Danio rerio: one gene and its partners. The protein of the gene in region 2 purifies or fractionates together with the protein of the main gene of each other region. This does not show direct contact. Links are inferred from orthologs where the notes say so. Each region holds a gene or a part of one and is shown on either strand. Other genes may lie near its edges. The genes, in order: exoc6, exoc1, exoc6b and exoc7.

Region 1 (7,655 bases), on a different chromosome or scaffold from region 2:
AATAAGATTGAGCTTTATGTGGGATTACAATGTCATTTTAATTTATTTCATTCATCTTAAAACCATTGAACTGCAGTCATTTTGGTATTTTATAAATGGTTTTGATATAAGGCTTCAGACAGGCTGTAAACAAACATTTATTTCTAGTTTTCTGTGTTTTAATTAGGTTATAAGATTCTGATGATATAAGATTCTGAAGGTATGTTAAGCTTGAATAAAAAATATCACGGGTTTACGGTTTTGTGATTACTGCTCTAAAATAATTTTTTTTAAAATGTCTGGGTAAGAAACGATTTTTTTTCTCCTCTTTTGAACACTAAATATTTTATTTTGAGAAACATTTATAATTTTTTGGAGTTGTAAACATGTCAATCTAAATAATTCAAATGAATCTTTGACTTCTGTTGTCTTTCTTTGCAATTTAAAACGGCATCTCTGGATAACTTTTCTGCTGGAGATACTGTTGTCCTAAAAAGCTGAACAAAAAATGTGTAAAATAAAAATAAATAAAATCTTAAATAAAAAAAATAAATCCTACACATACCCTAGGAATGAATATCAGAAAAAATTTGGCGGTTTTAAAAACCTTGACTTTTCCAAACTGCGGTATACCTTGAAAACGGTTATCGTCCCATGCCTAGTTTTAATACATCATTTATTCATGTCGAGCTGAGTTTTTAGTGTAATTTCAGTCTTACAAAAATAATCTAAAGAAATGCTCAAGAAACATTTAGAATTTTTAATGTTGAAAAAAATGTACGCTACTTAATATATTTGGTAATATATCAGAAAACTGAAAGTCAAAAAACATTATCCCCTCTAAAATGTATCTTGCAGCTGAACTTCCATGATACAGTTAATCACATAGGAAATAAATGATGTAGTGGCATATGTATTATATATGTTTAGCTTTGGAAAAACTAAGTTTTAACATGCTTTTACTGATTCTTTGTTAAAGAAAAGTATTAAAAAGTATTAATTATAGAGAAAACAGATTTTGTCACTTACGGCTCATTTCCACTGAGTGTTACGGTCCTTCGGTTTGGTACGCTTTTATGGCCGTTTCCACTGTCCAAAAGCGTACCGAACCAAACCGTACCGTACCACTTTTTCGGCACCCTTTCGAAAGGTTACCAAAACGAGAAAGGTTACCAAAAGGTGGAGCTACACGCGCAGCTAAACGCTGATTGGTTACAGAGATACTTTACAAGCTCGTGGAGCTAGACAGAATGAAAACAAAGGATCCGCCATGTTCTAATACACTGCCGAGAGATTACATGGAAATACTATATGCATATAATGACGAGCCATGGATGACGCAATCTCAAACAAACCTTGTCGTCATCTTGATGAGCAGACACAAAGCCAAGCAAAAAAAATCTGCCGTCTGCTGTTGTTGCTTTAAAAGCCCGTCTAAAAGTGTGATCGCGTCTATATTTGATTCAACGAACTTCTTGAGCTGATGATAATAACGTGTGCATGATTATTGAAGTGTCTCCGTCATCTGATCCATTCAGAAAGAAAAGGACAAGCGCGAGAGTGAAGCGCGAAAAAAGGAGAAGCCCGACAAGACTCAGGATCAAAAGTGTTTTAGCAACCTGAATCATGAACAAACTGCCATGTTTATCTTCGTCTTTTGGACTATTATAAACTGGGAATGACAAACTGACTCTCTAACAGAGCTTACATGTACTGGTGTAGATTACAGACACAGATGAGAGGTTTGCACTGACTGGGCTATATTGCGTGTGTTTTTAAACTCAAATAAGTACTAAATGTATGCTGTGTGTAGTTTTTCTGTAATTAATAATATATCGTAGACTGTAAGGGACTGTATGTGTTCATTTATGTTGCATTTATATATTTATTTAAAATAATTGCAGACGTTACCGTAGGCTATTTTGCACTGTGATTGATCTGCAGTTATAATCAAATCATGTTCATAGAAAAGTTAGTAATAAACATTTATAAACAAGTATTTGTGTATAAAGCATCTGTTTTGTGAGAAGTGCTACTCAAATTATATGCAAGCGACCCGTACAGCTTTACTGTAGACATTTATTCGAGCGAGCATGACGTCGACTTAAACTTTCTATCATACACCACGCCTGGGGTTAACATGTCCAGAAGTTCAACTTTTTGTTAGCATCTTCCTTTTTCTTTTGGGTGCTTTCTGCCGCATGTCTTTGACAGTGCAGAACTTTTTGTTGACATTGTGGGGAGAAAACTTTTAAACATACAGTACATCTTCGGAGTCCAAGCGATCCAAGATTTATGTAAATTTGGCAAGCTGAACGCATTCTGTACAGTACAGGAGACATTGCACAGAAGAGATTGATTGACAATGGTCTACAGCCAGTCAGGACGCAGAACATAATACGCTGTAAAAAAAAAAAAAAAAGCATGTCAAATTGCACAAAAAAAATGTATGAAAAGTGAACTGCGTTATTGCGAGGGACCACTGTATAGAATGTTAATGTTCAAAAATCACAGAAATGTGCTAATTCTGACTTTTTTTTTTTTCTTCAAATAGTCCTACTGCAACGATCCTGACCTGGTCCTAGAACTGAAGAACCTGATAGTTATTTTTGCAGACACTTTACAGGTACTGTCCAGTAATGTTTAGATCAAATCAAGTCCATCTTGCTTTCAAAATTAAGTCAAATTATAAAATCTGTATTTTCTTTTCATTTGATAGATTTGCTCTGCTCACTCAATATTATTGTTTGTTTTTTTGTTTGTTTGTTCGTTTTTGTAGGGTTATGGCTTCCCTGTGAACAGACTTTTTGACCTGTTGTTTGAGGTTCGAGATCAATACAATGAAACATTGCTCAAGAAATGGGCCTTGGTGTTCAGGTCAGAGGAACTTCAGCTTCAACATTTGAAATTGTTCATAATATGGCTATTGACTGACATATATCTCTCCCTTTCTGAAAACAGGGATATTTTTGAGCAGGACAACTACAGCCCCATTCCTGTGGATACTGAAGAGGAGTATAAGGCCGTGGTCAGTCGCTTTCCCTTCCATGATGCAGAGATCGAAAAGGTTTGTCAAGCTCTCATACATTTATATATTCGTACTTTTAACCCACTACCACACGCATTATGATAAATCTGTAATATATATATATATATATATATATATATATATATATATATATATATATATATATATATATATATATATATATATATATATATATATATGTATATATATATATATTTGACTGTTTTTCTTTTCTTAAAATGGATTCACTAAAAAAAAAAATAGGAAAAAAAATTTTTTTAAGGTACTTTATGAAATGCTGCCATATGGCAACAACGTCCAACAATTGATCTAACTTAGAAGTTTCTAATTTAAAACTTTCCTTATAATTATTATTATTATTTTTTAAAATAATTTAATGGGTGTTGCAGCACTATGAGCTTTAACACTGAACTAATAAATGACACCTTATACATACTTTACCACAACTCATATTCCAGCAGCTTTCATTTATTATATTCTTTTTGCAGAATATTATTGAAAACAATCATAATATTTTATTATCATGTATACAACATACAGGAAATGTAAATATTATAACAAATAAATAACAAGTCTAGTATATCCAGATGCATCAGAATAATGTAGCTACTAGCTAACAATGTTTATATATATTATACTATATACTATACTACGCCTGTCTTATTTACCTCTAAACAAACTTACCTGAACTGTCTCTATCAAATGTCCAGTCTGCATCATTCTCTTGGTCACTAAAACCCATCTCACCCTCACTTTCATCTGCAGGAAGAGCCAGTTCTGTCCTTTTCCTCTTTCACTTGCTATAGAACATGGTGGTGCTCACTAATACACTGTTCCCTGTATTGATATCTATTCAAAAGTAGTATTGCCAATAAAACTAGATTTTAACCATAATGCAAATGCCATTAACACATGACTAATCAACATTATATTACTAGCTTTCACGTTGATATTGTTACAACTTAAAAGTTCACAGCTGACTTTACTAGCTAGCTAACCCATTGCAATATTGCATGTTCCACTATTGCACAGTGTTGCCATTTGGCAACATACACATTTGATCGATTTACAAAAAACTAATTTAATTTAAAAAAATTCAGTTGTGAATATGTCATCATAACTTACTGGAGGTGATGTTTCTGATTTTTTGTGGCTCTTACATAATTTGATCCTTTGTTTTTATTGACGTTTACATTTGCATTTAACAGCTACTCACAATAAACGCCAGTCTGTCAGAAATTGTGCTACAGAAAAACACAGCATGTCATGTGACTTAACCAAAGCACATCATTGGCTACTCTAAAAGCTACTAAAAAAGTAAATTATGTTGGTCTTAAAGAAACAGTGGCAGGGAAATGAACATGAGTATCATGTTGCCATATGGTTACGCCCTGCAGTAGAGGGTAATTGAAGTCTGAATTATTAGCCTTATGTATATTTTCTCCCCAATATCTGTTTAATGGAAATAATATTTTTCCACACATTTCTAAACATAAAAGTTTTAATAACTCATTTTTAATAACTGATTTCTTTTATCTTAGCCATGATTACAGTAAGTAAAATTTTTCTAGATATTTTTCAAGATACTAATATTCAGCTTAAAGTGACATTTAAAGGCTTAACTAGGTTAATTATTTTAATTTGGCAGGTCAGGGTATTAAAAAATAATTGCTTAAAGGGGCTAATAATAATGACCTTAAATTTGTTTTTGTTTTTAAATTAAAACTCCTTTCATTGTAGCCGAAATAAAACAAATAAGACTTTCTCCAGAAGAAAAAGTATTATAGGAAATACTGTGCAACATTTTTTGCTCTGTTAATAATCTTTTGGGAAATTAAAATAAAAAGAAAGGCTAATAATTGTGACTTCAACTGTAGTTTGTAGTGGTAGTTTTCAGTTTTTACATACAGAATAGTTGGGCATCATCACCATATTGTTGGGTATAATCAATAGCTGGGCGTATTCACCAAATGCGATTCACAAGTTTGATTCGTAACTGCATGAAAACAATGTAAATATGTCACAGAAATTAAATGAGTTGTATATGTAATTTCTTTTTGACTAGTTTGAATCTTTCCTTATTAAACAGCAACAATTCCCAAAGAAGCTGCCCATGTCCCAGTCAGTGCCTCAGATCTACTCTCAAGTGAAGGAGTTTATTTATGCCAGCTTGAAGTTCTCCGAGTCACTCCATCGCAGGTGAGCAGATGCCATCGACACCCTCCACATCAGCAGACACATTCAGCACTCAATTGTTGGTCAGTGGATATTGAATGAAAATATTGAATAATCATGGTAAGGAAGGGGGTGTTCATGAGATTGTCATGAAACTTTTATTCATCCATTTATTCATTCATTTTCCTTAGTCCCTTATTTATCAGAGGTCGCCACAGAGGAATGAATCGCCAAATATTCCAGCATATGTTTTACGTAGCGGATGCCCTTCCAGCCACAACCCAGTCCTGGGGAACATCCATACATTCTCTCTCTCTCTCTCTCTCTCTCTCTCACACACACATACACACACACACACAGTCACACACAAAACCACTTAAGCCAATTTAATTCATCCAATTCGCTTATACCGCATGTCTTTGGACTGTGGAGGAAACCGGAGCACCCAGAGCAAACCCACGCAAACACGGAGAACATGTAAGCTCCACACAGAAACGGCAACTGGTTCAGCTGGGACTCAGCCTTTATTTGTCATTTATAAGGGATTATACAGCATAAATAGTCCTCACTTTAGATTAGGTCACAAAACTAGATGAAGTAGAGTTAATAAAGCATTTATTACTATACATAGTAACCGTTAATATATGCCTGAATAATAAAACATATAAACGTTGATTTCAATAGTTTATTAATCATTTACAAACTCATTCTGAATGATCCTAAAAACCCTCAACTACTCTTAAATACAACTGGTTTGTAAATAATGCGATACTTAATTTAGTAATGAAAAATAAATCATTAACTAAGTATGATAGTACAATTATTAAGCACATTTTAAATATGTTTGTAAGTCAGGAAAAGAGAATTTTATTAGCCGCATTTATAAAGTGTTTGTTAACGTCTATTAATGTAGAGTCAATGCTTGACCAATAATGAATTGACTATTTGCTAAAGCTTTTTTAGCTTTTTGATTTATAGTGTGTAGTTATTATAAAGTGTTACCATGTTATTGGGATGTTATTCTAAAGTTGCAACTATATCTTGTATACTAACAGTTAATAAATGAAGAATAGTTGCAACTAGAATAACGTCCCAATAACATAAACAAACTATTAACTGATACTTAAGTATTTAGTAAGTAATTTACTAACAGCTTGTAGGGGTGTCACGATTTCGATTTTTAATCGAAATCAATCGAAATTTATGCTCAATTTTGATTATCGAATCAAAAAATAGAATCGTCGATGCTGCCACACCCCCATGTCACGTCAGCTTGGCTTGCCAAGCGGGAAAAAAACAGGCTTGTTGAAGTGCTTGTTAAACTGCAGAAGCAGGAGACCCGTCGACAGAGCTTAAACCCTCTCCTCTTTCAATGAAGTCGCCGGTGTGTAAGCATTTTGGATTTCCAGTGAGTTATGTTGACAACGTTCGTGTTGTCCACAAAAAAAAACACAGTTTTGCAAGCTCTGCTATGTACGTATTACGTACGATTCGTCCGATAGACAACACCGGCATCGCGATCCTCCGCCTGCCCCCGTTGCAAATCCGCTCGCGAAAAGTACACACTCAGGCCCTGTTTACACTGTCTTATTATTATTTTAGAACGACAACGATTTGACATCCACAGTGGCGTGTAGCATTTCTGAGCAGCCCTCCGTCCTCACTACCTCTGAAAATGCACATCACGTAACCACACAGACACAGACGTACTCACAGCCATATGAGCTTGAGACAGCAGGTCCAGGCAGTCAGAGGATTGCTTCAATCTTTCACTCACTTGTACTTAGTCATTTTAGCGAACACCTCAGATACTGTTGGCTGGTTCCTGTTGGTTGTGCGTCTTGTCACTGCCTATTCACGAGTCCCGCAGAAAAAAGTGATTGACAGGTGGTAATTATGTGTGTATCTTGCCTTTATTCATTTACTGTATGATTTGTTTATGGGTAAAACAAAGACCATGCAGGTCAGGTAGTTTAAACGGTAGGCTACAAATAATTAATTGGTCATTAATTAATTATTCATAATCAAAAATCGAATCGAATCGTGCTTTTAGAATCGAAAATGTAATCGAATCGAGGGTTTGGAGGATCGTGACACCCTTAACAGCTTGTTTATGATCAATCACTAATTTATTAGGTAGAGTTATAAACCAGTAAAATATAGTTAACAAGTAATTTATAACTTGTCAACTAACAGCTCGTATCTATAAGTTACAATTATAAATTATTAACAAACTATTAACTATTATTAAACAAGTCATTTATAACCCATTAACAAACTGTTTATTAATGGACTATTAATTAGTTATTACTAGGGATGTAACGGTATTGTAAATACCGTCATACCGCAATATTAATTTTTTTCGATATTACCGAAGTCGCATGATTCGGTAAAACTATAGGTCTTCTGAGAAAATTTGCTCAGGCGAATGAAGCGAACGGGAGGTAGCTGA
Region 2 (7,655 bases):
TCAACACCCAGCTCTACTTCCGCACAAAACACTTCTGTTATATGCCAAACTCAAACAATAATTAGTCGGGCAAAAACCATCAAATCCATAAACACTGCCACAAAACTGACAGTAGTGCTTTTCTCACGTTCAAGCAGTTCCTTCTCAATGCATCTATGAAACATCCACATTGTAAGAGCAAACACTACAGGAACTGCATGCTGACCAGGCCATATCTTCTCACGAGCATCCCATAAATCCATCAGAGATTGAGCAAAACAAGGCAAATGAAGACCCCTTCACACTATCAGGGGACTAAAAAAAAAAAATCAACAGCTGCTACTGACAAGAGTGTGATGCTGGCTGGGAGGTTTATGGGGCGACCATCTTAGAAACCTAAGATGAGAACGTCTGGATTACATCACCATGAACATGCTTTAATGGAGAAAGAGAGAGAAGCAGCGTTGATGAGACAGTTAGGTCTAAGAAGGTGGAGGTGCGTGGCTGTTAGGGTGGACGAGTCAAACAGGGTGCTGGAGTGGCCGTACTCACAGGGAGTGACAGACAGGACGACCTATAGAACTGAGGGATGGTCATTTTGAAGTGACTGAAGTGGTTGAACTGACAGAGGAACAGAGAGCACAGGGAAGTAAAGTGATATAGAGACTGGTGGCCAAAACAGGAACACAGGAGAAAGATTCAAACACACTGAATAAAAGACTTATTGGAAAAGGAAAGGGAGCCTACTGGTTTTTTAGCAATGGCACACATTTTATTAAAAATTTTTTTACCTGTACCACATGTAATAACGTTACCTGGTGCACAAACACATTGTTGAGGTGGTTGGTGAGACGACGGGCAAAAGTATCTCTGAGCTCTGAAAACAGATGCTGCTGTTGCTTGATCGCCATCAGCTTATCGTGTCCTGGAATTACACAAAATCATCAATGCTGATCTGCAAGTGCTGCTTTCACACAGTTTGAGGTGAAGTTTGAAAGCAGTACCTGGTTTGAGAGCAACATTCATGCACTGTGAAAGAGCCTCAGAAGCGTTGATACAGGCCTCGATACCCTTAGGAGAGGACAAATCTCCTTCTTGCAAAGCCTTAATGTGCCCTTTTGAAAGATCCATGTAGTTCTAACATGATGAAAAGAAGATAAAAAAAGGTAAAGAATAATTGAAATAATAGACAATATTCATTCATTCATTCATTTTCCTTCAGCTATTTATCAGAGGTTGCCTCAGTGGAATGAACCGCCAACTATTCCACCATATGTTTTATGCAGCAGATGCCCTTCCAGCTGCAACCCAGTACTGGGAAACTAATAGACAACATCAAAGTTGTAATTAAACTGTCATTTTTTTATTGAAAATTTTTTAATCAGATTTTTTTTGGATTACAAAGGCAAAGTAAAGAAAATCTAATTATACAAAAGAAGTCTAGGGACAAATAAATGTTTATACAAGATTCCACAATTAAGCCATTAACTATTGACTATAGGGGTCCAGGGGTTTGTACATTGATGAAATGTAATCTAAAATAAAATAAAATAAATAAATAAAAATAAAAAAAAAATACTTTTTAAATGAAGAAAAAACATTACATAGTTTATATGTGGCTTAATATGCTTTGACCATTAAACAACACAAGCTTTATTTTTCTGGTAAAAAAATTATCACTTTAAATACAGGAAAAGCAGAGTTTCCCAAACTAGGGTCAATAAGGGAAAAGTAAAGAATGAGAAAACAGTAAAAGAAAAGGTTTTATTACTGAATTATTAATTTTTTTTTCCTTAAAATCTAAACTTAAAAATCTAGATTTGAGGTCAGTTTAATTAAGTTTTCAACACACTTTAACAGATAATCTGAATCTTACTGAGAGTGAAATTGCATGAAATCCATTTGTATGAAATCCACATGTTAAAGAAAAGCACATCAGATTACAATATAAGGTCCCTTTGGCAAAGTCTAACAGATTTTAATTTTAATTTGTTTTCGTGCTATTGACTTGCTAAATCCTAATAAGACGAGGTTTTTAGTACTACTGATATTGTATGTTGTCTGTCTTGTGTGTGTTGTCAATTTTGTAAATCTATTGTGCTCCAGAACAAATTGCCCTAAAAGGGGACAATAAACAGTAACAAAAAATAAATAAATTAAATAAAACTGTTCATAGCCAACCAAATATTCATGTTCTTTAAGCAACAGTTTCTGATAGGGCCAGACGGAATCTGCGGACGTTGTATTAGCTATTTCTGCTGAGAATTTTGGTAAAAATCTGCAGATTTCAGCAGAATTATTTTGGCAGTATCATAACTAAAACCTTAATATGTGAAATAAAAATTATATCTTTTTAACTTTTATTTAATGTTTAAAATGCAAATCCAATTAGATCCACTTTTTGGCAAACAAAGCAAATCTCTCATTTAATATCTCTACTAAAAGACTTATTGCACATAGATCAGATAAACATTTTCATATTAGTCAATAACATTACAGAAATATTTAAAAAACTGAATAAATAAATATTTACACACATTTACTCAAATAAATAAACAGAATTATTGATGGGCTAAAAATCTGTGGAAATCTGCAAAAAATCTGCGGATTCTGTGTGGGCCTACTGATGGGTCACAATGGATCACTAATTTTCCACCCTACCAGTATATGCTTGTTGAGGATTGCATCGCCAAAATTATGATGTGCACTTGTATACCGTGCCCTAACATACCACTAGAAACTGTATCTCATCCAACAGTTTGCCATTGTTAGTGTTGCTGATTTGGATGAGACGGTTGCTCTGTGAGATCTGGTCCATCTGCTCCTTCACGCTCTGCAGCATCTCCTCATAACTGAGCAGCTTCCCCTCGATGGTGTCCACCTCCGCCAGAGCCTGGTCCAGCAGCTGCATCAGGGTGTTCACCTGCTTTTCAGACGCCATGATGGACTGGATGTTAGCCTGATCAAAGAGGAAGAGATATTATTAGTCACCATCTCTAAAATCATACAACTGTCAACCAATAATCAAACTACGTGCAACTACTGTATAATTTACTTGCTAATCAGACAAGCTTTAAGCCTCACTCACCTTGACCTGTAGATAATTATTACACTTGGCTCAATATAGATAAAAATCCTGATGACTGGTGCAATCAATACTTTTCAGGTGCTAACACGACATAAATCCATCAGACTAGATCAAACTAGATTTTAAACAGCTTGGTAAAACAATGTTCTAATAACACTCAAGATTTCGGCAACAAGCGATTGCATCAAACACAATGCGACACAACAGAAACATCTAAATACTAGCCATTCATTTAAATATCAGCCACTGCACTGCCAACAATATGGAAGGTTATAATCTAACTAATATGTATTTAACTTCATTAGAACATTATTACATAGTCTGAGTGACAGATGTGGTTTAAGTGACTGAGTCACAGTTTAGACTTCTGCAAGTTTTGTATGGCAATAAATGTCACATATAGAGATAACCAAAATAAATAAAATAAAGCATATAATCTCTACTTGAGGTGATAATTGCCATAGTAGAATTGAATATGCTGTTGTTTTGCTGTATAACGTGACCGACAACTCAATTACAGTAATTAGAGTATTAGTAATTAGCTACTTTACATCACTGATTATGGGTATTCTCTAGCTGTACCCTCGATATTGAGGTGAATTGTGGGATTTTCTGAGTGCACTTCAGAATGTCTATGTTGGCTTCGGACACCTCTACAAATGGCTGCTCCCTTGAATGTGCATTAAGTGTATCATTTAAGGGTCTAGGGGGCAATTTCTGTTACAGCCAAGGAAATATCTGAACATACTCACCCCATCTAGGACCTGAAGCTCACGAGACAGTTTCTCTGCGAAGGCCTCAGCGTTGGAAATGGCGTATTCACAGACCTCCATCATGCCCTCAATGTCCTGCTCCTCACGGGCATTCAGCTCCTGATAGTCATCCAGAGCGTCTTCATCTCCACCAGCAACACTCTGACTCTCGCCACTCGGAACCGACTCTGGGAAGAAGAAGAGACAGGGATCATTAAAAAAAAGTGTTTATATTATACATTATGCACCACTGTTAAAACGTTTGGGGTCAGTGTAAATTTTGTAAAAAAAATAAATAAATAAATAAAATACTTCAGAAGAAAAAAAATACAAAAGTGACAGTGAAAACATAAATTCACAAAAGATATTTTATGTCAATGTAGCTATTTTATTGATGCATTTATTAATATTAACAAATGCAGACCTTTTTTATTAAAGAAGCCTAAAGAAACAGATGAAGAATGAGGTGACACTAAAGACTGAAAAAATTAAGCTAAAGATTTGCTTTGTATGTGAAAACTGTTATTTACATTGTAAAAACATGTAAATATGTAAAACTGTGTATATAATATGTTACATTGATAATACTTTAAAGCAGGAGTGTCTAAACTTGGTCCTGAAGGGCCGGTGTCCTGAAGATTTTAGTTTCAACCCCATCTTTTTAGGTATACTAGAAACTTCCAGGGAGGCGTGTTGAAGGAAATTGGAGCTAAACTATGCAGGACACTGGCCCTCTGTGACCGAGTTTGGACACACCTGCTTTAAAGTGATAGTTCACCAAAACTGAAAATTGTGTCTGAAAATCGTATAATCTATTCACCCTTAACTTGTTTAAAAATCTATTTGAGTTTCTGTCTTCTGTTAAACAAATAAAAAAGATATTTAGAAAAATGCTGGCTTCTGGAACACATTGACTTCCATAGTGGTCTTCCACAGGAGAAAAAAACTCATAAAAGGAACGTAAATGATGAGGAAATTTTCTATTCCATTTAAAACTATCACTTTAAACAATTTAGCTGTTTTTCCAATAAATAAAAAGAACTTTAGTGAACATATCAGGTATTTAAAACATTTCTTAAAACTCTAACCAACCCCAAACATTTGAACAATAGCTTAGATATGCATGTGAGTACATAAACTAATCTACTGAACAAATAAAATGTAAGTAATAAAAAAACAAGCACACATAAAAAATCTAAAGGGTGAGCACTGTCTAAATATATGAAGATATCAGTAGTTGAGCAAACTAATTAATTGGCGGAAAATAAGAGCATTAATGAAGGGGAAACAATAAGAGAAGATGGAAAAAATGGAGAAGGAAATGGAAGAGGATGAAAGGTGGAAAAAAACAGCGTACAAACCTTCAGCTTTAGGAAGCTCTGGCCAGTGAGAGATTTAGAGAGAACAGCACAGATCTGGTTAAAGCATTAAGGGCACTCAAAAAGACACATTGCAGAACCAAAAGAGACCCAAAGAGAGAAAAGAGAGAACTAGCTGCAGGAAAACAGAAAGAGTCCCTACCACTGCAAATGTAATAATTCTATGTAACAGCTTTAGATTTGTCATATGGCTTTAAGGTAACTGCATCTTAAAACACAGTGGCTGTTTAACATGCTATTACTCCACCACACCACCAGGAGTAGCAGCGAGTCACACCTTCTAGCAGCTGAGGGCTGACGTTTACAAACTCCACTTTCTTGCGAAGGTAACGCTGGTTCAGCTTCCAAATACACGAGATGAAGGAATTCTTCTCTGCTGTACTGCTTGCCACCCAACGATAAACCTTCTCAAAATGCAGGTCAAACTCTGGGTTTTCCTGCATGAAGGAAAAAAAATAAGATATCAATTACATACAGGCTGATGCCCATTGATTATAAGTTTTAGATTAAAAAAAAAGTAAATGTAAGAATAAGAATAAGAATCAAGAAAAAAGTAATTGCTGTAAAGTTCTACAAGTGAACTTAGGAATGATATTACATTATATAGAATAACATTACATTATAATGCACCGTATAATTAAGTGTTCTTAAATAATTAAGATTTAAAGAGTACATAAATGTTTAGTTAGTCTGGATTTGTTTTAACTGTAAAAAATCCAAAGAAACATTCCTTCACGGTTTCTGGCATTGTGAAGAAATCATCTCTTTTTGTAAGAAAGCACATCATTTTCTACAAGGACTCTTTAAGATACAATTGAGTTTTTCTCTGGAATTGTATTTGTTATATGGTGAAGTAGAGAATAGGTTGGACTCCCACACCAAGCATTTGTTTTAATCTTGGTCTATTTGGCAAAGAAAAGTAGACTTTTATTGTGGTCATCTCCTCAGGTACCCTCCTATAAAATGTGGTTGTCTCAAGTGTGTATGCTACCACTTGAGAAACTCATCTATGACATACATCAAAAGTCCAATGACTTTTGGCAGCTATGGACACCTTTTTGGCCTTTCATTATTATTTTCACCAGATTTTCTCTTCTATGGTTTATACTCATAGCCTGACTGTATCATCCTGTTTACTTGTCTATATAATTTAATTTTTTTCCTACTGTATAGCTGAGACTGTATTTGTATGTGCTGATGTATTAAAATAACCGATGATAAAAAATAAAAAAAAAACGTTTAGTTAGTCTAAAAAAATATATACTAAAGAAGTGTGATAACTGTTGACTGAAACTGATTTTTCCATTAATATAAATAAAGATGTAATCATTTAATACAAATTAGGTTGAAAATCCTAATTTAAAATGTTGCTTTGGCAACTACCTGAAATAAGTTTAAGCACTAAAATGACAAATCAACAAATAAAATAAGTGACATTTAAAAATAAATAAAATTATTATTTTTTATTTTACAAATGTAAATAAATCTCAAAATATGATACAAAAGCCACTAATGACAATACATTAATAATCCTAAAATATACCTGTATCCAGCATCATCAAACAACCGGTAAGATAATAATATCAATATGTAACAGAAATGTGATTATTTGCATTTATGTCATGCTTGAACAGATATATAACCCACCAGTCCTACCATCCAACCCGTTCTGAGCTGGGATCGAACCAGCGATTTTTTTGCATGGGAGTCGGTGGCTCTAACAAGGTTTCATACACATTTTTACTACAAAAATTCCAGGACTTTTCCATGATTTTTCCCAAGACTTTCAAGTAAATTCTTATGACCTAATGTTTCATGCAATGTCTACATATGCATGGTAAAAAACAATACATTTGTATAATACCAAAATTATTACGGCATATACTAAAACACGCAACAATCAAATTAGTTTCAATTTATATTTATTAATTCATTCATTTTCTTTTTGGCTTAGTCCCTTTATTAATCTGGGGTTGCCACAGCGGAATGAACTGCCAAATTATCCAGCATATGTTTTACGCAGTAGATGCCCTTCCAGCTGCAACTCATCACTGGGAAACATCCATACACACTTATTCACACACATACACTACAGACAATTTAGCTAACCCAATTCACCTATAGCGCATGTCTTTGGACTTGTGGGGGAAACCGGAGCACCCCGAGGAAACCCACATGAACACAGGGAGAACATGCAAACTCCACACAGAGATGCCAACTGACCCAGCCGAGGCGATAGTGCTACCCACGGCATCGCCATGACACCCAATTTACATTTATGTCTATGTAAAATTTATTTAAGCTGAAACTGCACTAATAATGTAAGAGTATTTGATCAACCAAGGACAGAAAAGAAGTAAAGACAACGAACCTATATTAAAGTATACAGATATGTGTTGTCCATGACTTTTCCAACTGTCAAAATTCCATGACTTTACCAGGTTTTCCATGACAGTA
Region 3 (7,655 bases), on a different chromosome or scaffold from region 2:
CCACTGTGTTAAACATATGCTGGATAAGTTGGCAGTTCATTCCGCTGTAGTGACCAATGATTAATAAAGAACTAAGCTGAAGAAAAATGAAATTACAAATGAAAAATGAAGATACAAATGCAAAACTCAATGCCAAATGAATGTAAAAATGATGCATCGATGAAAATTTTTTTCTAATTATTTGATTTTAAGTTTTAATGTTAAAAATAATTATTCTGCATTAAGAATGTTCCAGTTTTACACAACATTACAGATATTGGATGTATTTAAACTTTTTTTGTTATTACTTTCTTTTAAAGTCTGCAAAATTAATGTGGAGGTCAGGAGATGTGTGCTTATGCAGGTGAAATGCCATACTGTTGGAATGACATCGGCCACCCTATTCTCTCCCTTCCTGTCAGATGTCTACCATAAAAAAAATTATTAAAAATTCATAAAAGAAAGATCCCTAATAATGTTAGGTTTTAGGACAGTTGAAGGTATACAGCTGCTAAAGCTAAGAAAATGCAATCCAAATGTGTCCTCTGTGTGTCTGAGTCCTGACAGCTGCCAAATGCTGCTTTGGACATCGCAGACATCTGAAATACTCTCTCCTTCTCTTTCTCTCTCTCTGTCTGGTTAGTCACATCAAACTGAATGAGCAACTCCAGCCGTCCAGTCATCAAGGTGCTGTTTAAATCATCAACTCCTCGCTCTCTCTATCCCAGCTGAGAATGGAGGTGTATAAGAGGTGTTCAAATATTGTGGGCACTGACATTCGCTTGCAGCTTAACTTTTATAAGTATATCTCTACCGCCACCTAGTGTTTATCTGTCATATATTTTCAGCGCGCGCGCACAAAAAAACACATCTGAAAAAAAAAAATCATACCTTTTGGCCCTCATCTGTTCCTGCAGTTTGCTGTACATCTCCAACACTGCATGAAAAAAACAAAAACACATGTGGAATATGGACAAAAAGTCAAGAGCACAGCATGCGAGTTTCCAGGCAGAAAACATAATAAGAAAATCATACAGCAGTTCAAAAGTTTAAGGTCCATTGGATTTTTTTCTTTTAAATATTGGACACAGACATCATTTATTTCACCAATAATATGCATTATATAATTTGGAAATTATTATAATTTTTTTTTTAATAGATGTTTTTCAGCACTATTACAGTCAAATAAAATCTTTCAAATATGCTCATCTGGTGCTTAAGAAACACCTAAAAAACGCTGTGCTGCTTAATATTTGGTGTGACGGTTTTAATAATTATTTGATTACCCAAAAGAACAGCATTTTTTAAATATACATTTAAAATAAAAAAAATTACTTTTTAAATACTTACACAGCAAAATGTGGGGACCCAAAACAACTCTATGGGTGTTAATTTCAACACTTTGAAAGTGTCTCATGGGGTCCACTCAAAACAGACTTAAATCAACACTTTCAAAAGGGTTGGCACATTGACACCGAAGTAAGGGTTAATTTTAACTCAGGGCAGAGTTAAAAAATGTAACTATATTTAACACCACCTGGTGTAATATATTATTTTATTCAACTCTCTTGAGTGTAAATATGGTAAAAAGGTCAAATAGACTGTAAATTACAAAATAAAGACATTTTATTTGAAAACATTCACAACTTCAACAATTCATTCAATTTTTAAAATGCAACAATGTCAAATATGCTTTAAATGTTTTATTAGTACAGACAGTATCAACAAAATATGATGTCCAAACTTTGTTTCATCAGAGCAATTTGAAAGTCCAATATATCGTCACTCATAGTTTTCTTCTGAACGCATAGTTTTCTTCTGAAATTACATTTTAAACAACTTGGCGTGCAAATCTTTCACTTCTGGTGTTTCCTTGGTCCTCCACATCAAACACAGCAGTTTAAATGAAGGTATAAATGCTGTAAACTTATGTGAAAACAAACTGGAGCTAGGAAATCTCATCAAGCATGTCCTGTGAATGAAGTGCTTCCCAGCCACAGGATGACCTTTTTATCCATGACGATGTAGTAGCTGCTGATCGCTCATCTGGTGGTTCCTGATGCACGGATATAGGGTGATGCTCATCTGAGAACTCTTCAAGACTCCAGCATGACTAAGAAAAATGTTTGAAAATAAAATTGCAATCAAATTCTATGATATATTTAAAAGAACATTTAAAGTAAATAAAACATTCAAGAAATATAAACTCGCCTTTTGAAAATCTTCATGATGATCCACAACTTGACTCTCCCAGCTGGTTGAGGTGACAGGATATGGAAAAGTAGAAAAAACACATACATCACTGTTGGATCTCCAAAAACAATTAGGTTAACCACTATGACTAGAACTAGAAAAACAGGCAGCTGTCTGTCCAGAATCCTGAATTTAACACAACACTTGGAGCAAAATTTAGAGGAGCTTAAAATCTTTTATATCATTTAGTGATGCTGACTTCCCCAAAATATTAGCCACAGTGTAAAAGACATTCATAAACGTACAGTTTTCTGTAAGCGTGTGCGTGCGTGTGTGCGTGTGTGTGTGTGTGTGTGTGTGTGTGTGTGTGTGTGTGTGTGCGTGTTTCTTTACCAGATTCAACTTGTTAGGCCCTTTCAGGTCCAGTATTGACACCACCTTTACTGGAGTCTAGCAGATGTTTCAGGTCCAAATATAATCTAAAATATTAGGATAAGCAGAAGAGAAAAAGTGCAAAGACAACAGCAAAACATTATTTAAGTAAAAGTTCACCCACAATACAAAACTTATCACCTTCATGTCATTTGTTATTCTCTAATGCTCTAATACCCTCTCAGCTTATTGTGAAACAAATACAGAACTTTATCAAACATACCTTCATTATTATCACCACATATGACCAAGAAGGTGTGCTTGGTCATTTCACCAACTCTGGAAATACACCATCCGTCTCTAATCAGCCACCGTCACAGGGTCTTGTGTTATTGTACAGAGAACTGTGGCTGTTAAAAAACAACACATTAGTATCAAACACATATGCATAACCTTCAGATAAAAAAGAGAGATGAACATCACAAAGTATGCCTCACACATTTTCACATATCTTTTGATTCAGATGTTGATTATTGATAATAAATCTACAAATCAAACCTGTATCATCATTAGGCTGCTCAAATATGAATCAGTTGATTAATTTTACAGACAGGTGGCTGTTTACAACGCACTAATAAAACGGAAATGTTGTGTACAGTGCATGCTAAGTTTAGTCTATAGTTCTAAGCACAATATCATGCGGGAGAAAAAGCTTGACTAAGATGTTCCTGACAACAGAAATAGCCTAACTTACTAACGTCAGACATCCCGAGTTGGGAAAAGTCATTTTCGGGGGATACAGAGTTGATTTGCGGGAGGTAGCGGGAGAGATAAGAACCTGAAGAGCAATGGGATGAGCTGCGCGCGACGTACCTGAAGAGCGGTGGGGGTGACTAGAGCGCGACGTACCTGAAGAGCTGGGAGGGATGCGGTGGAGAGGGGCGTGCAAAGTGTTTAATGACCGGGCCGGAGACGCGCGATTTCCGGGAGATGATCATTCATTTGCGGGCATCTACTTGGGCATCTGGGATTCTCCGTGCATTTGCGGGATAACGTTAGTCCCGCAACTTCCGGGAGACTTCTGTAACGTTAAATGTCTGATAAAGTGCAAACGCGGTCATTTAAAGACATTAATGTTAACATTCCGACTTTAATGGTTGTCAACACTTAATATAATTCAAGCGTACGTTATCACACGAGTCTAAGTTATGGACTAACGGTATATGGACGGCCACGAATGAACCAGTTTAAAAGGGCCAAATTAACGTACACGAATAACAAACAATCATTTGTTTCAGTCAGGAAGCCTTTTACAAGTAAGCATATGTTCATTTACTCACCAGATATGTTTTAGAAACTCTCCAGAGCTTATGGAAACCGTCCTGTGTTGCCGTTAGCATCCGGGCAGAGTAGGCTAACGTTAGGCGGCTCCGGGGATTCCCTCGCTAGTTTGCTTAGAATTAAAGGAGAAGTGTCGATTTTATTTTACAGATGGGTAACAACGCACAAAATGGCATTAAGCGTGACAGAAATGTGCTGAACATGTACATTTGATGTTTTTATGCACTATGTATGCGTGAGCATATATAAAAACATTCTTGAAAAGAAGTCAATAGTAATGCAGTTAAGCTAGATACACAAACGACCATGAATGAACCACAGAAGTTTAAAATTGTCACTCCATTCTAAAGTTATTAACTTAACAACATGTGTACAACTGTATTTCCTTAAAGAAAGTCAGTAAAATACCAACATTTAGGTAGTTTGACTCACCAGTTGCTGTTCTAAACCTCAGATGGAAAATGGTGTCTGGAAAATTCTTCAGTGACTGGGGCTGCATGAATTCCCGGATGTTGGAAATAACACCACCAAGTGTAGAAAAGATAACTCCTTGATTTCGCACTGAATAAAATCAATTCTAACTCTTATTATATTCATTTATCAAAATCTAACTCTTTAACGTCAACACTTTACTCTCAAATGCTTCAACACCGAGAATTTAACTCTGATGAATTTGCTGTGTACCTCAAACTTTTCGATAGAAATGTAAATAGAAAGGCAAAGTATCAGCTAAGCGTGACGTCCGAAGAAAAAAAGTGCTTGTACCTGGTAAGCAGTGTGTGAGTTTGTCAATAGTGGTGGCAATGTTTCTCTGCTGCACACGGCACTGCCTCAGCTCATTCATTGACGTCAGGAGCTACATAAGATGTAAGCATTCATTTTAACAATGCTTAATACTAATATAAAATTATTTTTCTAAGATGTTCTGAAATCAAAGACTAAGCCAAGCACCTCCTTGCCATCATTTTGCAGTTTCTGATTGGTCTCGGTCACCTGCCCCTGAAAAAGACAGAGCAGAAAGCAATTGAAGCAAAAATCACATGCAGGAGCTATAAAGTTTTAGGATTTGTCCAGGTATACAAACACACAAGAGGTTATTTAATCTGTCCAGATTACACTGTACTAATGCTTTTCTCTTTCTTCACCTTCAGTTTCTGAGCTTCTCCGCGCACTTTGAGCAGCTCAGTAATGGAGTCCACAAAGCCCTGGAAGTGATGGTTGCACATCTTCTCAATTTCACGGTCGTGGTTGCGGATCCGACCCTCCAGCTTCTCCATGAAGAGTCCATGTTCCTGTCCATCATAAACGGACCTTTGAGAAAGAACAAAACAAAACAAGAGTGTCAATATTACATAAAAGATACAGGACATATCCGGGCCAAAGACTCATTTTGTTGTCCACATCAAAAAAATAAGCAAATTTTTTACATTGAAAACATACTAAATATTCCAAAATACTACATATTAATTAATATGTTAATTACTAAATTTAGTATTTAACAAACAGAATGTCAACTTTCTGAAGTAAGCAGAGGACTTTTTATCTTGAATATACAGTTTGTCAGAAGTAGCAAAAAAATGTATTAAAGTCATTATATTTTGCTTGAGAAAAAATGTTAATAAATTATGACACATTCTAATGTAAAGGGGAAACATTTAGACTGTATTATGCTTTATGAATTTTACGCTTGAAAACACTTTTTAATCTTTTAAAACATACATTATATTACTACTGACTGTTTATACAGTTGAAGTCAGAATTATTAGCCCCCTTTAAAAGTTTTTTTTCTTTATTATACATTTCCCAAATGTTGTTTAACAGAGCAAGGACAATTTCACAGTATGTCTGATAAAAAAAAATTTCTTCTGGAGAAAGTCTTATTTGTTTTTTGTTTCGGCTAGAATAAAAGTAGTTTTTAATTTTTTTATAACCATTTTAAGGTCAAAATGATTAGCCCTTTTAAGCTATATATTTTTTCGATAGTCTACAGAACAAACCATCATTCAACAATAACTTGCCTAATTACCCTAACCTGCCTAGTGAACCTAATTAAGCCTTTAAATGTCACTTTAAGCTGTATAGAAGTGTCTTGAAAAATATCTAGTCAAGTATTCTTTACTGTCATCATGGCAAAGATAAAATAAATCAGTTATTATAAATGAGTTATTAAAACTATTATGATTAGAAATGTGTTGAAAAAAAATCTTCCCTGTGTTAAACAGAAATTGAGGAAAAAATTAACGGGGCTAATAATTTTTTTTGGGGGGGGTAATAATTCTGACTTCAACTGTATATATTATAAGCGACTCATTTTAAATATATCTAATGTAACTAAAAGTTAAAAGTGAAATTTTATTTCAGTCAAAAGGAAGGCATACAAATAAATTGTCTAAAAATATTTCTCCATTGTCGCTGATACAAGGCGTTTACCACAAGATGGCAGTAGAAGATATGAAATAAACATATATAAGCAAATATTTTCTTTGCCATTTGAAATCGGATTAAACCCAAGAACTGTTAAGAGTTCTTTTAAAATAAAAATAAAAACTTCTATACTTCACTGCAATGTTTCCTTTTACATAAATATATAAGATACATATATATTATGACAATATTACAATAAAATAAAGCATTGCAAAAGGACACAGTCAATTTAAATGGAGAAATTAAGAAATATGTTCATTAAAATACGTTTCTTGGATCTACAGGAAAAATATATTTAAATATATGTAAATATATAAATGCCAATAGATCAATCTGATTAATTTCAGTCCACTAGAGATCTTCTAAATGGTCAATGTAACAGAGTTGAGGAGAACGAAGATGAATCATATCCTGGGTGATTTCTACATCTACATTAATTTGGGTACATCTGAAAACAGCATATCTAAACTTGATTACATGTAAATATATGAACGCTTTAACAAACTCCTATCAGTATAAACAAAGATCTATCTTTTCAGAATCACATGACTTCACAGACCTCAGTCTTCACAATCTACACACTTTAGCAGAAAAACTTGATCATCTGACAAAAATGCTATCTCGGTGCGGCCAGAAGACCAAAACAGAGAAAAAGATGCAGTTTTACATGCATCCGGATTAGACGTCATTTCTCATGATCACATGTAACTTAATCCTGTTTAACAAACAGAAGTGCTGTCCTGATCAGTAAAATACTATCTAAATGAAGACACAAACATGCCAGCACATGCTTCGACTGAGTCTTCCTCTGGCTCAGGAAATTTCCTCTTTCCATTAGCACAGTTTTGACGTCACTGATCACCTCTTTTACAAACCAAGACTGCCGGGCAGGGCAGGGCAGGGTTGTGCAATATGACCATACATATCATATGGACAAAATAAAAAGTCTACCCTTTCATATTTCGCTCTATCATTTATATTGTTGTGTCACAAAATACATTGTTTAGAATAACACTTTATGCAGACAGAAACATAAATGCAATCTTGAAAGTACAACGTTTAGAGATTGCATTTTTTTAGACAAAATATTTATTGAATATTTCAACATTTTTAGTCAAAATGTAAATGTAATGTATATTTTTAGTAAACATTTGCCCTAAAGTTATAATATAATTTAAAATGTATTAAGACACAGTCTATCATTCATTTTCTTTTCGGCTTAGTCCCTTTATTAATCTGGGTTCGCCGCAGTGGAATAAACCGCTAACTTATCCAGCATACAGTATGTTTTACGCAGTGAATGCCCTTCCAGCTGCAACCCAACACTAGGAAACATCCATACACAC
Region 4 (8,170 bases), on a different chromosome or scaffold from region 2:
CTGCAGGTCATTATAATCCATGGTTCCAGGCAGTAAGAGGGCATTTCCTCCAAAACAATGACACACACACATACACTGGAAAAACAAGTGGGCAAAGAGTCAAATCAGTTTCACACTTACACATTCTGAAACTTCCAGCTGTGCACCAACAATCAACAAGCCAAATATGTCCTCCATGGCTTCCTTTCATATAGGTTGAAGAATAAATGTAAATTGAATTCGTCATATACAGAGTCAAATACAGTATGATATGCAGTGAAATGCTTACACAACCACTTGTGACCTTAAAATAATAACAGTCATTAATGTTCCTTCGCGTTAGTCCCTTGTCAGGGGTCGCCACAGACGAATGAACCGCCAACTATTCTGGCATATGTTTTACTTAGCGGATGCCCTTCCAGCTGCAACCTAGTACTGGGAAACACAATACACACTCATACACAACAGCCAATTTAGTTCATTAATATTTGGACTGTGGGGGAAACCCACGCCAACACGGGGAGAGCATGAGAACTCCACACAGAAACACCAACTGACCCAGCCGGGACTCGAACCAGCGACCTTCTTGCTGTGAGGCCACAGTGCTAACCACTGAGCTAATCAATGATTCCTCATCATAATTGATGATGAGTAATAACTCTAGGTGTTGGTCCATCGAACATCGGTTTCAGGATGGTCCGGATATGATTCAGTGTGTTTGAGCTTTAGACTCGTTGATTTTAGAGGCGTTTTCACATCCTCACAGACTCAGAGCTGGTTTTAGGTCAGTGATGAAGGCTTAAGGGTTAAATATAAAGCTCCACACCCAAGTGACTGAAAGCACCTTTAATCATCTCTGACAGACACTAAAATAACAAGACGCACTTTGGCAAGACTAAAAATATCGGTTTTGTTTTGTTTTAAACAGTAATTAAAAAAAAAAATCGTATATATATATATATATATATATATATATATATATATATATATATATATATATATATAAAATAAATAAAGTCACCGGCCACTTTATTAGGTACACCTTACTAGTACCGGGTTGGACCCCCTTTTGCCTTCAGAACTGCTTTAATCCTTCGTAGCATAGATTCAACAAGCTATTGGAAATATTCCTCAGAGATTTTGCTCCATATTGACATGATAGCATCACGCAGTTGCTGCAGATTTGTCGGCTGCACATCCATGATGCCAATCTCCCGTTCCACCACATCCCAAAGCTGCTCTATTGGTCAAAGTCACTTAAATCCCCTTTCTTCCACATTCTGATGCTCACTTTGAACTGCAGCAGATCGTCTTGACCATGTTTACAAGCCTAAATGCATTGAGTTGCTGCCATGTGATTGGCTGATTAAAAAATTGAGTTAACAAGCAGTTGGACAGGTGTACCTAATAAAGTGACCGGTGAGTGTATATTGTTAATATTGATAGAGAAATAGATTTGTACGATTACAGTAGGTATTGTAAAAAAAACAAACAAAAACAAAACACATAAATAACTGTATCTTTGCTTGTTTTTTGAAAAGTTTATTTTCAAACAAGTAAAATTTTTAACAAAAAATTTAAAACAATTAAAACTATAGTTAAAATAAATATTATAAAAATACAATATTTTCAAAAAAAAAAGCCAAAATAATAAAATTTATTTAAAAAAATAAAAATTAAGAAATTAAATAAAACAAATTTTCAAATTGTGCAATTTTGTCTTTTATGCCAGGAGAAAAAAAATTAATAAATAATTTAAAACGAATAATGAAGTAGGGCGAAGCAGTGGTGCAGTAGGTAGTGCTGTCGCCTTACAGTAAGAAGGTCGCTGGTTCAAGCCTCGGCTCAGTTGGCGTTTCTGTGTGGAGTTTGCATGTTCTCCCTGCCTTCGCGTGGGTGTCCTCCGGGTGCTCCGGTTTCCCCCACAGTCCAAAGACATGCGGTACAGGTGAATTGGGTTGGCTAAATTGTCCGTAGTGTATGAGTGTGAATGTGTGTGTGGATGTTTCCCAGAGATGGGTTGCGGCTGGAAGGGCATCCGCTGCGTAAAAACTTGCTGGATAAGTTGGCGGTTCATTCCACTGTGGCGACCCCGGATTAATAAAGGGACTAAGCCGACAAGAAAATGAATGAATGAAGTAAATATTTGTTAAATGCAATAGTTTTAAATAAATCTAAAAGCACTGCACATCAAATTGTAATGATAATTAAAAAAACTAAATGAGAATTTGACATTTCATTAACTGCATGTGTGTTTCTGTGTTTGAAATAGCCGTTGTCTAATAACACTTCATTAAATGAAATGAAAATAAATCAGCAAATGTAACTGATGAACACACATCAGCGCAGGATTTAGGAGGAAATTCTTTATTTACCGCAGTTAAATCCCCCATAGACATATACATAAATACATTTATACAAAAACAGGAGCAGAAGTGAGCAGTGGCGTTACAGTGGAGTAGTGTGTAGTGAAGCAGGAGAGACAGAGAGAGTGTGTGTGCGTGTCTAAGCTGAAGTGTCGAACAGCCGGTCGATCATGTCCTCCACCTGCTCCGGGGAGTAGCGGTGATATTTCTCTGGATTCTTGGTGAATGAAATGTTCGCACATCTGTAAAAACAACCAGCAGAACATAAACCACAGTGCGTGTTAGTGTTTGTGTGTGTCTGTGTGAAAGAGAGATTGAGTGCGTGTGTTTTTGACAATGTCTGTGAGTATATGTGTGGAAATGTGTGTGAGTATATACAGTATGTATAGTATATATATATTTATACAACAGTTCTGTCTGGTTCTCAAATCTGATTGGCTGAAAGCCGTGCGATATTCTGCAATATTAGAACTTCTACAGCCTCTTTACCCTTTGTGTATTACTCCGCACACATACAGCCAGCAAAAAGCAGACACTACAGATCTAAAGTTTAAAAGATGCCTTTAACTGTTTTAACAGCTGTTTAACTGTCAGATTATGATTTGAATCCAATGCGGAGGAAAGTAGTTCCTCATACAAAAGGGTTTTTAAGACTCTCCATGTTTGATTTTGTTTTTATATACACAATTGTGTATGTGTGTGGCTGTATATCGGCACTGGTGGGGGCACTAAGGCACTCGGCCTGCGGCCACATCGCACTGCTACTCGTGTAATATTGCTCATAAAAATAAGAACATTTGTGTGTAAATTGTGTGTGTATGTGTGTGTATATGCTTGTATGAGTGTGTGTGTGTGTATGCAAGTACATGTGTGTGTGTGAATTGTGTTTATGTATGCGTTTGTGAGTGTGCTTGTATGAGTCTGTGTCTGTGTGTCTATGTATGCGCAGTTAGTGTGTGTGTGTGCTTGTGTGTGTCTCACCGCTGTAGGAAGGCTTTATAAGTGAGTGAGACGACCCTCTTCTGAGCGTGTCTGATGGTGTCGCGCTGCTCTTTATCAGGAACTGCCCAGCCCTTCTGGATCTTACACAGCTCCTCCAGACCATCATTAAAACCCTAAACACACACACACACACACACACACACACACACACACACACATACACTTTAACCCTGTCAGCTCTGAGACAACAGTCCACCTTGAAATAATAATCATCGTTTGATACGAACCATATTAAGATCATCAACATTTCACAGCAAAAAAAAAAAAAGCATAAGCTAAAGTATTTTTCAGCCACCGATAAACTTCCGGTGAAAGGTTAATGTGACTGTTTTCAACTACATCAGGTTTCTTTTACAGCATAGATGTTATAACGGAAATAAAATCGAATCAGTTAAATAGACTTAAGTGTTGATCAAATGAAAAATGAGATGAAGAGACGTCTAAAAGTGCCGTCAAGAGCAGCAGATGAGCGCGGAAACTCAGGGGTGTAGCGGACATTTTCAAAGTGGGGGGGACGGCTGTATGAAATCCTGAGGTTTTCAGTCTTATGCCGAGTTCAGACTGCATGATTTTTAAAGTAGTCGTGTCACAGATGTTTTCACACTGCATGACTATCTGGGCTAGCGTTTCATCGCTGCTTTGTTTACACTGCAAGATGGATTGGCGACAGGGACTTTCACATTGCATGACTTTACTAAAGGAAGAATCGCCGACAACTTCATCCAAACGACGTTTCACAGCCAAAAACACGTCGTATATCTTTTGTTATTGACTACATAATGAGAAAGAAGCCTTTAATGGGGTAGAACATGTACATGTTCGCTCACCTGGGTTTAAAGGGAATTAGCCATTTCTCCTCAACGTTAATAATAAACTAATTTCTTTCTGTATGAAAGGTCAAACAAACACGGTTTTGACACGAGTCCTGTCAAACCTCCACTAGTTTTTCCTCCATTTCGTGGGTCCAAATAAACCGAAAATGAGCGCTTTTAACTTCTCCCCCAGCCTCCCGCTGGCCTGCAGCAGCTATACACACACACTAGTGAACGCTGCCCTCTCATTGGCTGTAGGCAGGGCCGGCGCGTCCATAGAGGCGACCTAGGCGGCCGCCTAGGGCGGCAGTATAGAGAGGGCGGCATCCGCGACACCTCCCTTACCACCCGCATCCTCAGTTATGTCCGCGACACCTCCCTCACCACCCGCATCCTCAAATATATTCACGCATAGACGACAGAATAGAGACGGCGGCGTCAGCGACAACTCCATCAGCACCCGCGTGTCCTCAGTTATATCCGCGCATAGGGCGGCAGAATTGAGGTCCGCGACACCCGCGCGTCCTCATTTATCCGCGCATAGGGTGGCAGAATAGAGAGCGCAGTGTCCGCGACACCTCCCTCCCTCCCTCAGCACCCGCGCGTCCTCAGCTATATCCGCACATAGTGCGCTGGAAAAGAGGTCCGCGACACCTCACTTCATTTTCATAACCGGTCACTTTCGTTTTCTCATTGGGGTTGAGGGCGGCGTGATCGTCCTCTGCCTAGAGCGGCAGTTCAGCTTGCTCCGGCCCTGGCTGTAGGCAATCGCTGATGTTATTTTCAGTCAAAACCCAATTCACACTGCATGATTTGAATCGCCGACAGCTCCAGATATTCAGCATTCTCTCAGATCGCGTCTTTGATAGTTCACACTGTGTGATTGTCACTCACGTGCACGAGCAGCGATTTGCCTGTGATTTCAGGCATTTGTCGGCGATTTCTCAAAACATGTCTGTGAGCCAAAATCGGGGCTAAAATCACGCAGTCTGAACTAGGCATTAATCACCTGTTTCTGAATGGTCGGTCTCTAAAAGTGTAGGGGACATACCATACCACTGAGAAAAGCTGTAAATATGATGTATATAGTTAGAGTATGCATGAGTTTGTCTCACCTTGAACTTGTCCTTGATGATCTGTCGTTCTTTATCTTTCAGCTGCACAAACAAGAGTTCAGATTAATGATGATATTTCAACAAGACAATGCAAAACCACATTCTGTACCAATGACTGTAAAAAATATGGACGACGCGACAGCCCTTTTTCCCATTGAACGCCTTGAGGGCAAAACGCCTGCTTGACGGGCACAAACTGTCGCAAAAGACTGCTGAAATTGGAGCCTTGACATGCGCAGAAGGACTGTCTGATGGAGCCAGAGGAGGAGCCGCGAAAATGAGCAGAGTCGAGCTTCCAATCAAACGCTTTATGTAAAATCAACCACGCCCCCTGAACTTCTCAGCATGCGTTTGCTGTCATATCAACACAAATGGATGTAATAACGTTAACAAACATGAGGGTTTTATATATTCAATCGCGCCAGCTCCAGGCCGCAGCGCATAACTTACTCGCGGCGTCGCGGGCTGATTCCGGCTCGCATGCGGCAGCGCCGGCTCGCTCGGCCACTGCATCTGGCTCGATTGACTCGGGCTGGAATTGGGTAGTGAGTCCAGGCATCCGGAGTATGTCCAGCAGAGGTAACATTAGTCAGTCTGAGCTCTAAGAGATAAGTCTCCGGCAGGCGAGAATCTAGCCGGAACTGTGTTTTGCTATCTGGGTGGCTAGGCGTGTATCAGCAAACTAATAAAGCCCGAAAAAAGCCCTGAACTTAGCGAATAAACAGTGTTCCACCAGGATCATGTATGTCAGAAACTGTAGTTTACTGCTGAACTCATTTTGTCATGGTAAAATAACACAGAAATCGAATAATAACATTTCAGTCTACTTCAGTCTCCTGCCGAAGCTCAGACGCCGCGCTTTGAGAAACTGTCAATCACAGCTGTCAATCACGATGACACGCCCAGCATTAAATTACTGCTAAAAACAAACTGTTTACAAAAATGAAGATCTGCACCTATTTCAGCACAATAACCAGTGCCTTAATCGACCAGAACTATCTTTCGGGACATTTTATTGCAAGTGTAATATTTTTTTTTATTTGGGCTCAAGTCTACTTCATTAACACGGAGGAGGCGGGCTTTATGACTTGTACTGCAGCCAGCCCCCAGGGGGCGATCTAACGGCCGAGACCTTCACTCAAACGTAGGCTTGCGGCACACTTGTTCTGTACACATTACAAAGTCCTGGCTGCGGGGGATACAGGTACTTGACTGGCCTGCCTGGAGTCCCAACCTGTCTCCAATAGAGAATGCGTGGTGCATTTTGAAATCACGTACTGTTGTCCACCTTAACGCTTGTTTGCAGGAAGATTGGAACACAACTACACCTGAAACACTTTATCATTCTGTCTCTAAACGTCTTTTAAGTGTAGTGAAAAACAACGGAAACATTACAAAGTGGTAAATTATTTACTGTTGCAACTTCTTTTAAATGTGTTGCAAGAACCAAAATTGGATTACATGTTTATTTTGTAAACAATAAAAATATTGAAAACACATTCAATAATGTTTGTTTTATTGTCTGCAATGAAATACAAGTCAATCTAGCAATCACTACATTCCTTTTTTATTTGTGTTTTCCATTTGTGTTCGGTGTGAAAGTACGGTAAATGTGTGTGATTTTCCTCACTTTGGCTCCCGGCTGGAAATCTGGGATGTTCCTCTCTGCGAGATGCTCTGTGACCCTCAGCCAGCTGCAGGTCAGGGAAGGTCAAAGGTCATTCACCGATTGATCATTCAGACGGACTCTTGTGATCGGATGCTGTGTGTGTGTTTGTACCTGCGCTGGTAGTTCTGGATCTCCTGCTCGATCAGCTCTCTGTAGGAACTCTCCACCTTCTTCACAGTCACAGCCACCAGCTGAATCAACTCTGACCTGAACAACACAAACACACCACTTCATTTCCATTTTCATTCTCACATAAGTGTGAGGTTGTATGAGTATGCACATGTGTGTGTGTGTGTGGGAGAGTAAGAGAGAGCATACAGTAAGTGTGTGAGAGGGAATGCGAGTATATCTGTGTGAGTGAAATATGAGACTTGTTAAATTAGGAGATAATTTAGGAAGTGTGAATGATTATGCAGAGAGCTGCCTTCTGATTGGCTAGTGCTGAGAGGAGGGTCTGGTTTCTGATTGGTCGCTGAGATGAAGCGGTGTAAAGAATCAGAATCAGTAATGAATAAACTCACTTCTCCAGGGATTTGAGGATGTAGTTGTAGTTGTTATGAAGGAAAATGGCGCGCAGGGCTGGATCTTCATACACTTTAGCTTTATTTGACAGATTCAGCTGCAGATTACCCAGGACTTTATCTGAAAACACAACAACAACATGGTTATCTATTATCATATATTTAATTCCCAATTCACTCCGAGCTATTATAGCATTATCCACTTGTGTAACGGATTACATTAAAAGTTTTGTTCTAGTAATTGCGTTTGGATTGTCATTTTATTATAATTGTGAAATATTTCTCTTGTAGTTGTAATTAAAATACCTGACAAAAGTTTTGTGGCTTATGCAAGTTTTAGGAAGAGCAAATAATAAGTTGACTTCTGGTTGATCATTTGGTATCAGAAGTGTCTTATATGAAAGGCAAAGGCCCTTTAGATCGGTGGTTCTCAACTGGTTTGGCCATGGGACCCACATTTTTACATGGTCATCAACCCGCGGTCCAAATTTTTAGGACTATAATAAAATTTTAGTAATTATAATAAATTTGTATTTATTTATTAACATACACAAGTAGTGACAGATAAATTATAGGAAAATCACAAAGACTTACAAATAAACAATATTTTATTATTGTCATTTAACAAATGTCTCAAATTATTAAAAGTAAAAACGACAAATGTTTGGTTTCTACAAGTGCTCTTGTAAAAGCACAACACTACATA

What was found.
Region 1: the proteins of exoc1 (region 2) and exoc6 purify together in Homo sapiens (affinity purification with mass spectrometry; 4 studies listed by BioGRID and IntAct, counting the BioPlex papers as one, with this or other methods). This does not show direct contact. The link is inferred for Danio rerio from reciprocal best matches to the Homo sapiens genes EXOC1 and EXOC6.
Region 3: the proteins of exoc1 (region 2) and exoc6b purify together in Homo sapiens (affinity purification with mass spectrometry; 3 studies listed by BioGRID and IntAct, counting the BioPlex papers as one, with this or other methods). This does not show direct contact. The link is inferred for Danio rerio from reciprocal best matches to the Homo sapiens genes EXOC1 and EXOC6B.
Region 4: the proteins of exoc1 (region 2) and exoc7 purify together in Homo sapiens (affinity purification with mass spectrometry; 4 studies listed by BioGRID and IntAct, counting the BioPlex papers as one, with this or other methods). This does not show direct contact. The link is inferred for Danio rerio from reciprocal best matches to the Homo sapiens genes EXOC1 and EXOC7.

The regions. Positions count from the first base shown.
Region 1 is NC_133187.1:9,574,272-9,581,926, reverse strand, and holds part of exoc6 (exocyst complex component 6), read left to right. Parts: intron 1-2,533; coding exon 2,534-2,605; intron 2,606-2,758; coding exon 2,759-2,856; intron 2,857-2,940; coding exon 2,941-3,046; intron 3,047-5,117; coding exon 5,118-5,227; intron 5,228-7,655. UniProt on the Homo sapiens protein: Component of the exocyst complex involved in the docking of exocytic vesicles with fusion sites on the plasma membrane.
Region 2 is NC_133195.1:28,553,896-28,561,550, forward strand, and holds part of exoc1 (exocyst complex component 1), read right to left. Parts: intron 5,636-7,655; coding exon 5,476-5,635; exon of another isoform or gene 5,451-5,475; intron 5,199-5,450; coding exon 5,181-5,198; intron 4,008-5,180; coding exon 3,820-4,007; intron 2,939-3,819; coding exon 2,711-2,938; intron 1,117-2,710; coding exon 984-1,116; intron 905-983; coding exon 795-904; intron 601-794; coding exon 532-600; intron 1-531.
Region 3 is NC_133182.1:25,148,616-25,156,270, reverse strand, and holds part of exoc6b (exocyst complex component 6B), read right to left. Parts: intron 5,197-7,655; coding exon 5,031-5,196; intron 4,885-5,030; coding exon 4,837-4,884; intron 4,742-4,836; coding exon 4,651-4,741; intron 4,378-4,650; exon of another isoform or gene 4,318-4,377; intron 3,998-4,317; exon of another isoform or gene 3,885-3,997; intron 2,955-3,884; exon of another isoform or gene 2,828-2,954; intron 2,652-2,827; exon of another isoform or gene 2,566-2,651; intron 2,234-2,565; exon of another isoform or gene 999-2,233; coding exon of another isoform or gene 917-998; coding exon 871-916; intron 1-870. UniProt on the Homo sapiens protein: Component of the exocyst complex involved in the docking of exocytic vesicles with fusion sites on the plasma membrane.
Region 4 is NC_133187.1:48,895,191-48,903,360, reverse strand, and holds the end of exoc7 (exocyst complex component 7), read right to left. Parts: intron 7,586-8,170; coding exon 7,465-7,585; intron 7,151-7,464; coding exon 7,055-7,150; intron 6,969-7,054; coding exon 6,905-6,968; intron 5,317-6,904; coding exon 5,275-5,316; intron 3,461-5,274; coding exon 3,327-3,460; intron 2,588-3,326; coding exon 2,485-2,587; 3' UTR 2,331-2,484; downstream 1-2,330. UniProt on the Homo sapiens protein: Component of the exocyst complex involved in the docking of exocytic vesicles with fusion sites on the plasma membrane.